Regions from separate parts of the Mus musculus genome. Here all the other regions are reported to be linked to region 2. The links are microRNA targets in miRTarBase. Many come from high-throughput screens and were not tested one by one. Region 2 holds a microRNA gene; each other region holds the end of a gene's coding sequence.

Evidence for each region. Region 2 holds the annotated microRNA mmu-miR-302b-3p (UAAGUGCUUCCAUGUUUUAGUAG, at 959-981, opposite strand). A microRNA usually pairs through its seed, bases 2 to 8, with sites in the 3' UTR of a target mRNA and lowers its output. Matches are read on the target gene's strand: a 7mer-m8 pairs with bases 2 to 8, a 7mer-A1 pairs with bases 2 to 7 and ends in A, and an 8mer does both.
Region 1: miRTarBase lists Gad2 as a target of mmu-miR-302b-3p. Seed matches in the 3' UTR shown: 7mer-m8 at 2,521-2,527.
Region 3: the mRNA of Mtif2 is a reported target of mmu-miR-302b-3p. Seed matches in the 3' UTR shown: 7mer-m8 at 2,823-2,829.

What each region holds. Positions count from the first base shown.
Region 1 is chr2:22,689,699-22,693,053 of GRCm38, reverse strand. Gad2 (glutamic acid decarboxylase 2) reads right to left here. Exons shown (of 16, transcript NM_008078.2): 16 at 1-2,881. The coding sequence ends at 2,708. Among named protein-coding and RNA genes, the nearest start is that of Mir3967, 37 kb to the right of the region's middle.
Region 2 is chr3:127,543,256-127,546,255 of GRCm38, reverse strand. Mir302b (microRNA 302b) reads right to left here and starts at 1,028; the gene lies at 955-1,028. It overlaps Larp7 (La ribonucleoprotein domain family, member 7), which reads left to right. Exons shown (of 13, transcript NM_138593.2): 7 at 1-209; 8 at 286-430; 9 at 1,978-2,102. Gm51018 (predicted gene, 51018) reads right to left here and starts at 1,167. Exons shown (of 2, transcript NR_146435.1): 1 at 1,110-1,167. It overlaps Mir302c (microRNA 302c), which reads right to left and starts at 893; the gene lies at 826-893. It also overlaps Mir302a, Mir302d and Mir367.
Region 3 is chr11:29,544,633-29,547,972 of GRCm38, reverse strand. Mtif2 (mitochondrial translational initiation factor 2) reads right to left here. Exons shown (of 14, transcript NM_133767.3): 14 at 2,521-3,060. The coding sequence ends at 2,888. It overlaps Rps27a (ribosomal protein S27A), which reads left to right. Exons shown (of 6, transcript NM_024277.2): 1 at 1-132; 2 at 228-292; 3 at 713-767; 4 at 1,185-1,270; 5 at 1,551-1,682; 6 at 1,944-2,131. The coding sequence starts at 245. The coding sequence ends at 2,093. Clhc1 (clathrin heavy chain linker domain containing 1) reads right to left here and starts at 23. Exons shown (of 12, transcript NM_028504.1): 1 at 1-23.

The sequences.
Region 1 (3,355 bases), not on the chromosome of region 2:
ACACGATTTTCTTTCTTCAAATCCTGTGACAGAACATGAAGTCTATACCACTTAGAAGTCTTAGATAAACACATACTGCACTTTTTTCAAGTATTTTAAATAATAAATGAAATATTGCTATATAAATAAAAATTAGCATATCAATTCTGATTAAAACTGAAACCAATGTTTAAAAAGAAAAAAAAATCACAGATAGAGACCATTGGCACTGGGGATTTGGACCAACGTTCAATATAGTCTCCCTCCATTATTACTCCATTATTACTCTTTCATCCCATTTTCCTTAGCACTCTCCTGAGTGGATGGCAGAGCTGCTGTAGAGGATCTATTAAAGTACTGGGCATGCATGTACCTCCTTTTCTAGGATACAGGATGAGAAGATTTGCATGCCCGAGCAAGGCTCCTAGAAATTTTGAGGAAGAATCTGGAGAAGAAGGGGATTGGAGATCCAATTCACTAGCAAAAAGTGCATGGACACAACTTTTTAAATTCTGTCATCTCATCAAACTAGAAGCCAGCTTGAGCTACTAAGTCTGTCCCCCAAGGGCTAAGCTTTCCATCTATCAGACAGTAGGCCCTTCTGCCTTCTCTAAGCGGGACACTCGGTTTGATAAGTGAGTCTCTGCCCGGGAAGTGAGATCTGTGGGCCTGAGGCACAAGATGGATGGGCAGCTGCATATTTACTCTCAGCAGCCAGGTTCTAGAAAGGAAAGTTATGCCTGTCCATTAGGGAGTGCTGACCTACTTCATGACACTCTGGTGTACAGGTTGTTTTCTTTTTGGCTGTCTAGACAGCAAGGGCCCAAAGCTACAGTCATACTGAGGATCAGTATGTCTAGTCAAATAAGGTCTGGGCTAAGTTGTAAAGATTTGTGGTAGTTAGGGACAGGGCCTTCTTTCTTCTGTTCCTGTATCTTTCTGAGTACCAAAATGCCCATCCATATGGAGTGGGAGAATGCTTCCAGACTGGTACTTGCCTTTTGCATGTAAAAGTCCATAGTTCTACCAGCACTTAGATCTGTTCATCTGTGACTTAAAGTTATCATGGGAGCTGTTGATCATTCTCCATCCAGTTTACAGGGAAAGAAACGTATTTTCAAACTCTTGATTTGAATTTTAGCGATCTCTGCACATTCTAGTCACTGTGGGTCTTGATGGGAGGCAGATAAAAGAAGTTCTTAGGCTACCTTGAAATTGCTTGCATGAGGAACTCATTTCAGGAAAGGAAAAGAGCCACATGGGATAGTAATTCATTACTAGGGGTCTGGGGGCAGGGAGTCTAGCAGGAGAGACTTTAAAGTGTGGGATGGAGAAGGAATTTGAAGAAGAGAGCATCTGGGATGCAAACGACCCTTTCCCCAGACAGTAGCAAAATGGCATCTGGGAGGAAGCCATTCTTGTCATACAGAGGTCTCGACTCCCATGACTGGGTTTAATATTCTGTGCTTATCACACTTAAGGAGTGTGCTGTACCCCTCTTTGCTAGGGCTGATTTGGTTTTATTTTCACCCTTTTTCCTAATTAATCCAGATGATCTAATAAAAGAATATGGTTTGAAAAGACACTTCAAGAACTAATATCAACCTTTGGTTGAAAGCAGGCCGCCGGGAAGCAGAGTGGACGAGCTTGCCTGGATCTGGGTCCAAGCTGGGCTTGCCTGGCTTCTAGACAGGGTCTGCGAGGTCAACTAGTGCAACATCTAAACAGGAAGAGAATCTTAATTGTTGATCTGTTCAATTGTTTTTAGAAGTTTCATTTTTGTGTGTGTTTGCTTTGAAATACTAGCTTTAGGGATATGATAAGCCACAATGTATTCTAAAGTAAGTTATTACATTTTAAAAGAATTTTGTGGGTTCTATGTTAAAACTATCTTGCTAAAGTGTTTTATTGTGCCTCCATGAGAAGAAAGATAGAAAAAAGTAAAGAAATAACTCTGGCTTATGTTTCATATCTGCCTCTGCAGTCTGTATAACCCATATAAAATAAAATCTATATGTTACAAAATAGGATTTCTTTTAATATATATTTTTCTTTTGTAAAATTATATGTATTTAAATACATTTGAAATGTTGCTCTAGGTAAATTAGAAATTCTTTTCCTAATACTATGAAAAAGGCAAGAGTTTTTCTTGTCCACATACATTTTATATTTACTTTGTCCTTTTCACTGTACCCCAGAGAACCTTTTATGATTCAAGGGTGATTTGGCACTATTTATTACTACTGCTCTGAAGTGAAAATAAGGTTGGATTAACATACTATATTAAAAGGGAAGTATTTATAACAATTTTATACTTTCTCTTACTGATTAGAACACAGCCTTTTGTCACTAATTATTAGAGAGGTATTCTAAACTTAAGAAAGGATTTTAAAAAGGAGTGATGTTTCCTGTTGGTTTTGATTTCTTTGTTTTTTGGTTTTTTTCGAGACAGGGTTTCTCTGTGTAGCCCTGGCTGTCCTGGAACTCACTTTGTAGACCAGGCTGGCCTTGAACTTAGAAATCTGCCTGCCTCTGCCTCCCAAGTGCTGGGATTAAAGGCATGCGCCACCACCACCCCACTGGTTTTGATTTTTTTAAACTGTACTCTACTGTGACACCACGATATAGAAATAGAATTATTCTGGAACAAACTACAAATACATTTACACAGTTTGTGACAACTTAGCTGTCTACCTAGAGAACTGAAACAGTTTGATGAGTGAGGTGATTACAAATCTTGTCCGAGGCGTTCGATTTCTTCAATAAGGAAGTCAATGTCTTGGTGAGTTGCTGCAGGGTTTGAGATGACCATGCGGAAGAAGTTGACCTTGTCCCCTAAGGGTTGGTAGCTGACCATTGTGGTCCCATACTCCATCATTCTGGCTTTAATCACTGGCGCCACCTGTGGAAGAGAACACGTCAGTGCAACGACTTTCTCTCTATCTCCTTTATGTTAGTTATGCAATCAATGTTTGTATGTTATGCAGTGCATCCCATAGCAAGTGGTGTTTTTAGTTTTTAACTAAACAGGACCACAATTTTCTCTTGAAGGAACTGCTTCAAGTTTTCATGAGATCAGCAAATAAAAATAGCTCAGAATATTAAAAACCCTAAATATAATAAGAGACTCGTCATCTTGCAGGAAATGAAAAGAATCTTTTCCTGGGGTTAAATGGTTTAACAGTACTACACTGAAGAGAGTTTCACCCTAAAAATGCAAAGTCGTTGAAAGAAAGCACTATTAATAAAAATTACTATGAGGGGCAAGCCTCAGTATCAAGTGATGGATAAAAGCAGGAGACAGAGGGCTGGAGAGATAGTTCAGTGGGTGAGTGCACCTGCTTGAAACCATGAGAACCTGTGCTCCTCTAGCAGC
Region 2 (3,000 bases):
AACCCCGGAAGCTCCAAAGCAACCTGCAAAGAAAAAGAAGAAGCGGGACAAGGTGGAAGCATCCAGCTTACCTGAAGCCAGGGCAGGGAAGAGGGAGAGGTGCAGCGCCGAGGACGAAGACTGCCTCCCCCCAAGGCCAAAAGCTAAGAAAAGGGCTCAGAAGGATGGCGTCGGCCAAGCAGCTTCCGAGGTCTCCAAGGAGAGCAGAGGTACCGTGGCAGTAGGGTTACAAATGTTTTAACCAGTTTAACCACAACAACGGACTTACGGAAATCTTTTTTCTAGACTTAGAATTCTGCTCTACTGAGGAGGAGAAGGAGACAGACAGAAAAGGTGACTCACTCTCAAAGGTGAAGAGGAAGCATAAGAAGAAACACAAGGAGAGACATAAGATGGGCGAGGAGGTTATACCATTGAGAGTGCTGTCCAAGTAAGTGGCCACTGACACAGGTCCATCACCATTGCTAAAGTGCAATTCCAATTTCTATTCAACAGAGTTGCATGTTAGCAACAGTGACGGCCTTGGTCTATCTATATGCAGCACAATGAAGATTAAGTAGGAGCCACCACACTCAAACATGGAAGCACTTATTTTTAAATGCACAGCAAGTGCCTCCATGTTAAAGTAAAGGAGGCCCCTTAAGCAGACTTGAGTGGTCTTTACAAAGGCATGAATATAAAGGAAAACATACCATCACCAAAACATGGAAGCACTTACTTTCTTAGGTCTAAAGCAAGTACAACCACGTTTAAGTGGTGGGAAGCCCAGTCAATAACTCCCTTAACCTACAGCATCTTAGAGAAAATGTTGAACAGTTTAAGACACCCCCACTGAAACATGGAAGCACTTGCTTTTGTTTAACACAGCAGGTAACCCCATGTTAAAGCAGAGGGGACTCCCATCAGACTCTGAATTAAAAGGCTAGCTTTCTTATTCCAGAGTTTCTTGAATTCACTTCTACTAAAACATGGAAGCACTTACTCTTCGATGAGACAGAAAGCATTCCCATGTTAAAGTTGAAGGGAACCCACCCACAAGGCAACTAGTTAAAACAGAAGAGCAAACCCACAGGAAAGTAAAGTGACCCGGTTACAGACATAAGCTTTACCTCCTTTACCTTCGTGACCGCCTCCCAAAGAGTCCTGTTCTGTCCTCGGAGGGTGAAAGACGCCGACTTTAGACCACTTGTATTTATACTACTCCTAACTCCTGAGTTCCTTTTGGCTTTCTATCTCTGAGAATCATTACAAGACCCTTTGTTATTTTAATGTATCAGCTCTGGGGAAAGTAGGTCCTGGGGACCTGGGTAGGTCTGGATTTTTTTTTTTTTTTTCCTTTTTTGAAGTAAACAGATGTCAATGTTAACTGCTAAAACCATTACCACAAGATATCCTCCTCTTTAAAAAAAATCTCCTATCTGCCCGTTTGATGGCACAGATTAGGGTAACAATGAGCGCTCCCACAGAGCCAGGAGATGCATTGTGCTTCTCTGGAGGAGCCCTAGCTGTTTGAAGATACATCTACATGTTAAATGTATGTAAATAAATAAATTGCTTCCATGGGGTGTTTTTTTCTTCTTAGAAATTCCTTTTGATTCAAGTAAATCCTAAGGAATGTTAGCTCTCAAATTGGAAGCAATTTGAGAAATCTTTAAGTTTTAGTCTCTTACTTTTTCTCCAGGTTGCCTGATTTAGTGATTTTACTTAATAGAAGTGACTCAAAAGTGATTTTACAATTAAATATTAGAAGCAACCAGGAAACTCAAGCATTTTCCTTGCCTGTTAAGACAAAGAAACTTCCTTTGTGTGTTTGCTAGGTAGCTTTAACAAATGGCTTAACAAATAATGTAAACATATGCCTTAAAAGAAAGAAAAGTCAGAAAGACTTGCAGTTCCTATGAACATTGTGTTTAGATCAACTTCAGATTTCTAGTTGGGTCGTCTTATCACTGTAATGGCTCAATTTTTGTTTTTCAGGACTGAATGGATGGATTTGAAGAAAGAGTATTTGGCACTGCAAAAAGCTAGCATGGCTTCTCTAAAAAAAACAATATCTCAAATCAAATTGGAATCAGAAATGGAAACAGACTGTAAAGCGCCTAGTAAGTGTGCAGTGGGGAACGGAGAGGGTGACGCTCATGTAATGGAAGAGTGGGCTTTAGTCTATGAATGGTTTCAGGGGCAGTTTTATTGCAGTGATAGAGTGGCTTCCTCAGTTTTAAGCTGAACCATTTCCAAAAACAAAATGTTTTAAGAAAAGTAAAAATGTGAAGTTTTGTATTACACACTAGGTTTTAATAGTCTGTTTATTCTTCTCTACTTACCTGCGAGCTCACTTGTGAGTGCCTGGAGAGAGAAATAAAGACTGCAGGCTTAGTGGATGATGTTCAGCAAGCAGGAGCATATTAGAGCACTACTCTCGTTCATTGTAATATTAGTAAAGGTTTTAAGTTCTTGCAAATTATACAAATTCTCATATTTGAACAGTATACTTTGTGGCTGGAGAAATGGCTCAGTGGTTAAGCACACTGACTGCTCTTCCAGAGGTCCTGAGTTCAAGTCCTAGCAACCACATGGTGGGATCTGATACCCTATCCTGGAGTGTCTGAAGACAGCTGCAGCGTCCTCATAAATAAAATAAATAAACAAATTTTTTAAAAAATGAAATTGTTGAAGCCAGGCAGTGGTGGCTCATGCCTTTGATCCCAGCACTGGGGAGACAGAGGCAGGCGGATTTCTGAGTTCAAGGCCAGCCTGGTCTACAAAGTGAGTTCCAGGACAGCCAGGGCTATACAGAGAAACCCTGTCCCGAAAAACCAAAAAAAAAAAAAAAAAAGAATAGAATACTTTGAATAGTCTTATGTTCATATAGGCATACATCTTTATTAAGGCTTTATTCTTTGGTTTAGAGGTATAATGCCTTTTGTGCCATGTTGATTCCAATGGGCAGTGTGATTCCTTAATATTATTTACAATTCTGAGATCCTTAAACTAGCCTGA
Region 3 (3,340 bases), not on the chromosome of region 2:
TGGCACTGCGTTAGACAGCCGCGATTCCGCTGCAGCGCGCAGGCACGTGTGTGGCCGCCTAAGGGGCGGGTCCTTCGGCCAGGAGACCCCGTCGGCCACGCTCGGATCTTCCTTTCCGATCCGCCATCGTGGGTGAGTGTATGCTCTGTGGCCGCGCTCTGGCTAGTGGCGCTACGCGTCGCTCTCACGGGTGTCGTCGGATCTAATCCGTCTCTTTTCGAATGCAGGTGGAGCCGCCGCCACGATGCAGATCTTTGTGAAGACCCTTACGGGGAAAACCATCACGCTCGAGGTACGGGCCACCTTGCCGTTGAGGAAGCCAAGGCCTGACTGAGGCCCTTAGTGTTTGAGGGCGGGTTTCTGAGTTTTGAGTTGTGAAACTTGGCTTTGAGCTGAGATTATGGTGCTTAGCAAAAACAACGTTTGGTTTTCGGTGTGGTACGGTTTAGCCTGCTTTATCCCGAGTGGCGAAATGTAGGGTAGGTGATGGGAGACGCTTTTCTCCGGGCAGACGCGTTCCTGTGCTTCCCCCGCCGTCGCTCGCCCTGGTATGGGGACTAATTTGGATTGTAGCACTCTGGGTAGTTTGCACGCGGTGTCATCTTAATTGATTACCTTTAGCTCACCTCCTCCTTGCTCGTTTTGTATAAAGCTAGCAGTTAATGACTTACTATGTAACCGTATATTAACTACATATATCAAAACTTGGCAGGTTGAACCCTCGGACACTATAGAAAATGTAAAGGCCAAGATCCAGGATAAGGAAGGCAAGTAAAGTTTGTCACTAGAAAAATGACTGGCTTGTGTGACCTAGACACGTTTGTTCTTAAGGTAGAAAACAGATTAATAAATTTAGATGCTTTTGAAAGTAAAATATTCCTGACATTAGTGTCAGGCTATCTGATTAACTGGAAACTCTGCAGGACAAATCTTTTAAAAGTTAATCTAGAACTGTTTACTGAGTCACAAAGACGATAAAATGCTCAGGCTGGGCAATGGCCCAGTCCACACTTTAATCTCAACACTAAGGAGGTAGAGGCAGCCTGGTTACAGAGAAAGTTCCAGGGCTTTTACTCTTGGAAAAAGTTGCATCTAAGTCTGTGACCACTGTTAGCAATCATTTGATTCACAACAATGGGGAATGTACCTTGTTCTATTAAGCCCAGTATTTTTTCCTCTAATAGGAATTCCTCCTGATCAGCAGAGGCTGATCTTTGCTGGTAAGCAGCTGGAAGATGGCCGGACTTTGTCTGACTACAACATTCAAAAGGTTTGTTTGAGGGAAAACATGCAGAAAAAGGGATGATATTGAATCCACTAACACTTGCTGAGCACTGTAGCTGTTCCATGATTTTAAAATATGCGATGGTTGGTTGACCCTTTTTGTAGAGAGCAGTCTCCTGTAGCTCAGGGCCAACTTGAACTGGATTCCTGAGCCTCCTTAAAATTCCTAGTGCTGGAGTGACAGGCCCAACACCACCCAACTTTTTGACAGGCTGGAGTTAGACTTGTTGATGCTACAGTGCTGCTGTTTCATCTTCCACTAACAGGAGTCCACCCTTCATCTGGTGTTGAGACTTCGGGGTGGTGCTAAGAAAAGGAAGAAGAAGTCTTACACCACTCCCAAGAAGAACAAGCATAAGAGGAAGAAGGTTAAGTTGGCTGTGCTGAAATACTATAAGGTAAGTGTGGTGTTAGCAAAACATGGGTTCCACTTGGAATAAGATCTGAGCAACTAACTTTTGGAAGTACTTTTGGAGTTGAAAGTGAACTCCCCTTTGATATTTAAGTGAGTTTATAGAATTGGAAACAGGATTTTTAATTTGGAGAACTGACTTAAACCACTAAAAATTGGTACTGTGAGATCAATAGCTTGAGTCACTTAAATCAGGTTTCAGAATATGTTTTGTGAAATCATCTTACAGTAAATTCTTGTTTTGCAGGTGGATGAAAATGGCAAAATTAGCCGACTTCGTCGAGAGTGTCCTTCTGATGAATGTGGTGCTGGAGTTTTCATGGGAAGCCACTTTGACAGGCATTACTGTGGCAAGTGTTGTCTGACTTACTGCTTCAACAAACCAGAAGACAAGTAGTTGTGTATGCGTTAATAAAAAGAAGGAACTCGTACTTAGTATTGTGCTTTATTGTACATTTAAAGAATGTTTCTTTGGCTGTGTGATGTTGTATGAGCTGCAGCTGTCAAAGCCAATATAAAACTTGGCATCATGGCATGGCATGATGGCAGGCACTAAGGTCAATTCTTTTTAAGGGGTTGTGGAATATCCTGTAGACTTGGAAGTAGAAGCTACAGGACAGTATGTCTCACAAATAAGTTGAAGGTGCCAAGTCAAAGCTGCTTGGAATATATGGGAATAATACTGTATTGGTATGTGCATAAGCTGTTGAATGTTTTCAGTGTTGATTGGTAATTTTCCCCCTATATGAGAGATACAAGCTAGGCATGGTGGTACATAGTTAATTTCAGGACCCTGTATTTAAATGAAGGGAAAATATTTACCATTTTTTTAAAAGAATTATTTATTATATATAAGTACACTGTAGCTGTCTTCAGACACTCCAGAAGAGTGTCAGATCTCATTACGGATGGTTGTGAGCCACCATGTGGTGGCTGGGATTTGAACTCAGGACCTCCAGAAGAGCAGTCAGTGAGCCATCTCTCCAGCCCATTTACCTTTTTTTTTTTTTTTTATTTTTTTGGTTTTTCCGAGACAGGGTTTCTCTGTATAGCTCTGGCTGTCCTGGAACTCACTTTGTAGACCAGGCTGGCCTCGAACTCAGAAATCCGCCTGCCTCTGCCACCCAAGTGCTGGGATTAAAGGCGTGCACCACCACACCCGGCTTCCCATTTACCATTTTTAATGTGCTTTTAAAATCCTGGATCCCAGGAAGTCTTAGTTGGAACTTTATTTTCTTCATAACAAATGACTTGATCTCCCGGTTTGAATTCGACTTTTTCTTCATCTAAACTAAGACCACAGTCCATACCAGTTTTTATAACTGAAATGTCATCTTTATGGTGTTTCAGAGAGGTTAATGATCCTTAAAAGAAAAAAGTCATGCTGAGTATATTCAACAAATAGCAAGTTACCTACTAAAGTTGTATATATTGTGTAAGATCCATGTTCCATGGTAGTTGTAGAGGTCAGGACAATTTGGTTACTACCTTCATGGGATATTAAACACAAGCTGTAGGGCTTATGAGGCAAATGTCTTTACCTGCTGTGCTCCATTTCTACCCTTCCAGTGAATTCTGGGAGATTGATTTCATCTGAAATCTTCCATTTTAAAGATAGTCTAAGTCTTTATTTTTGAGGTTGTA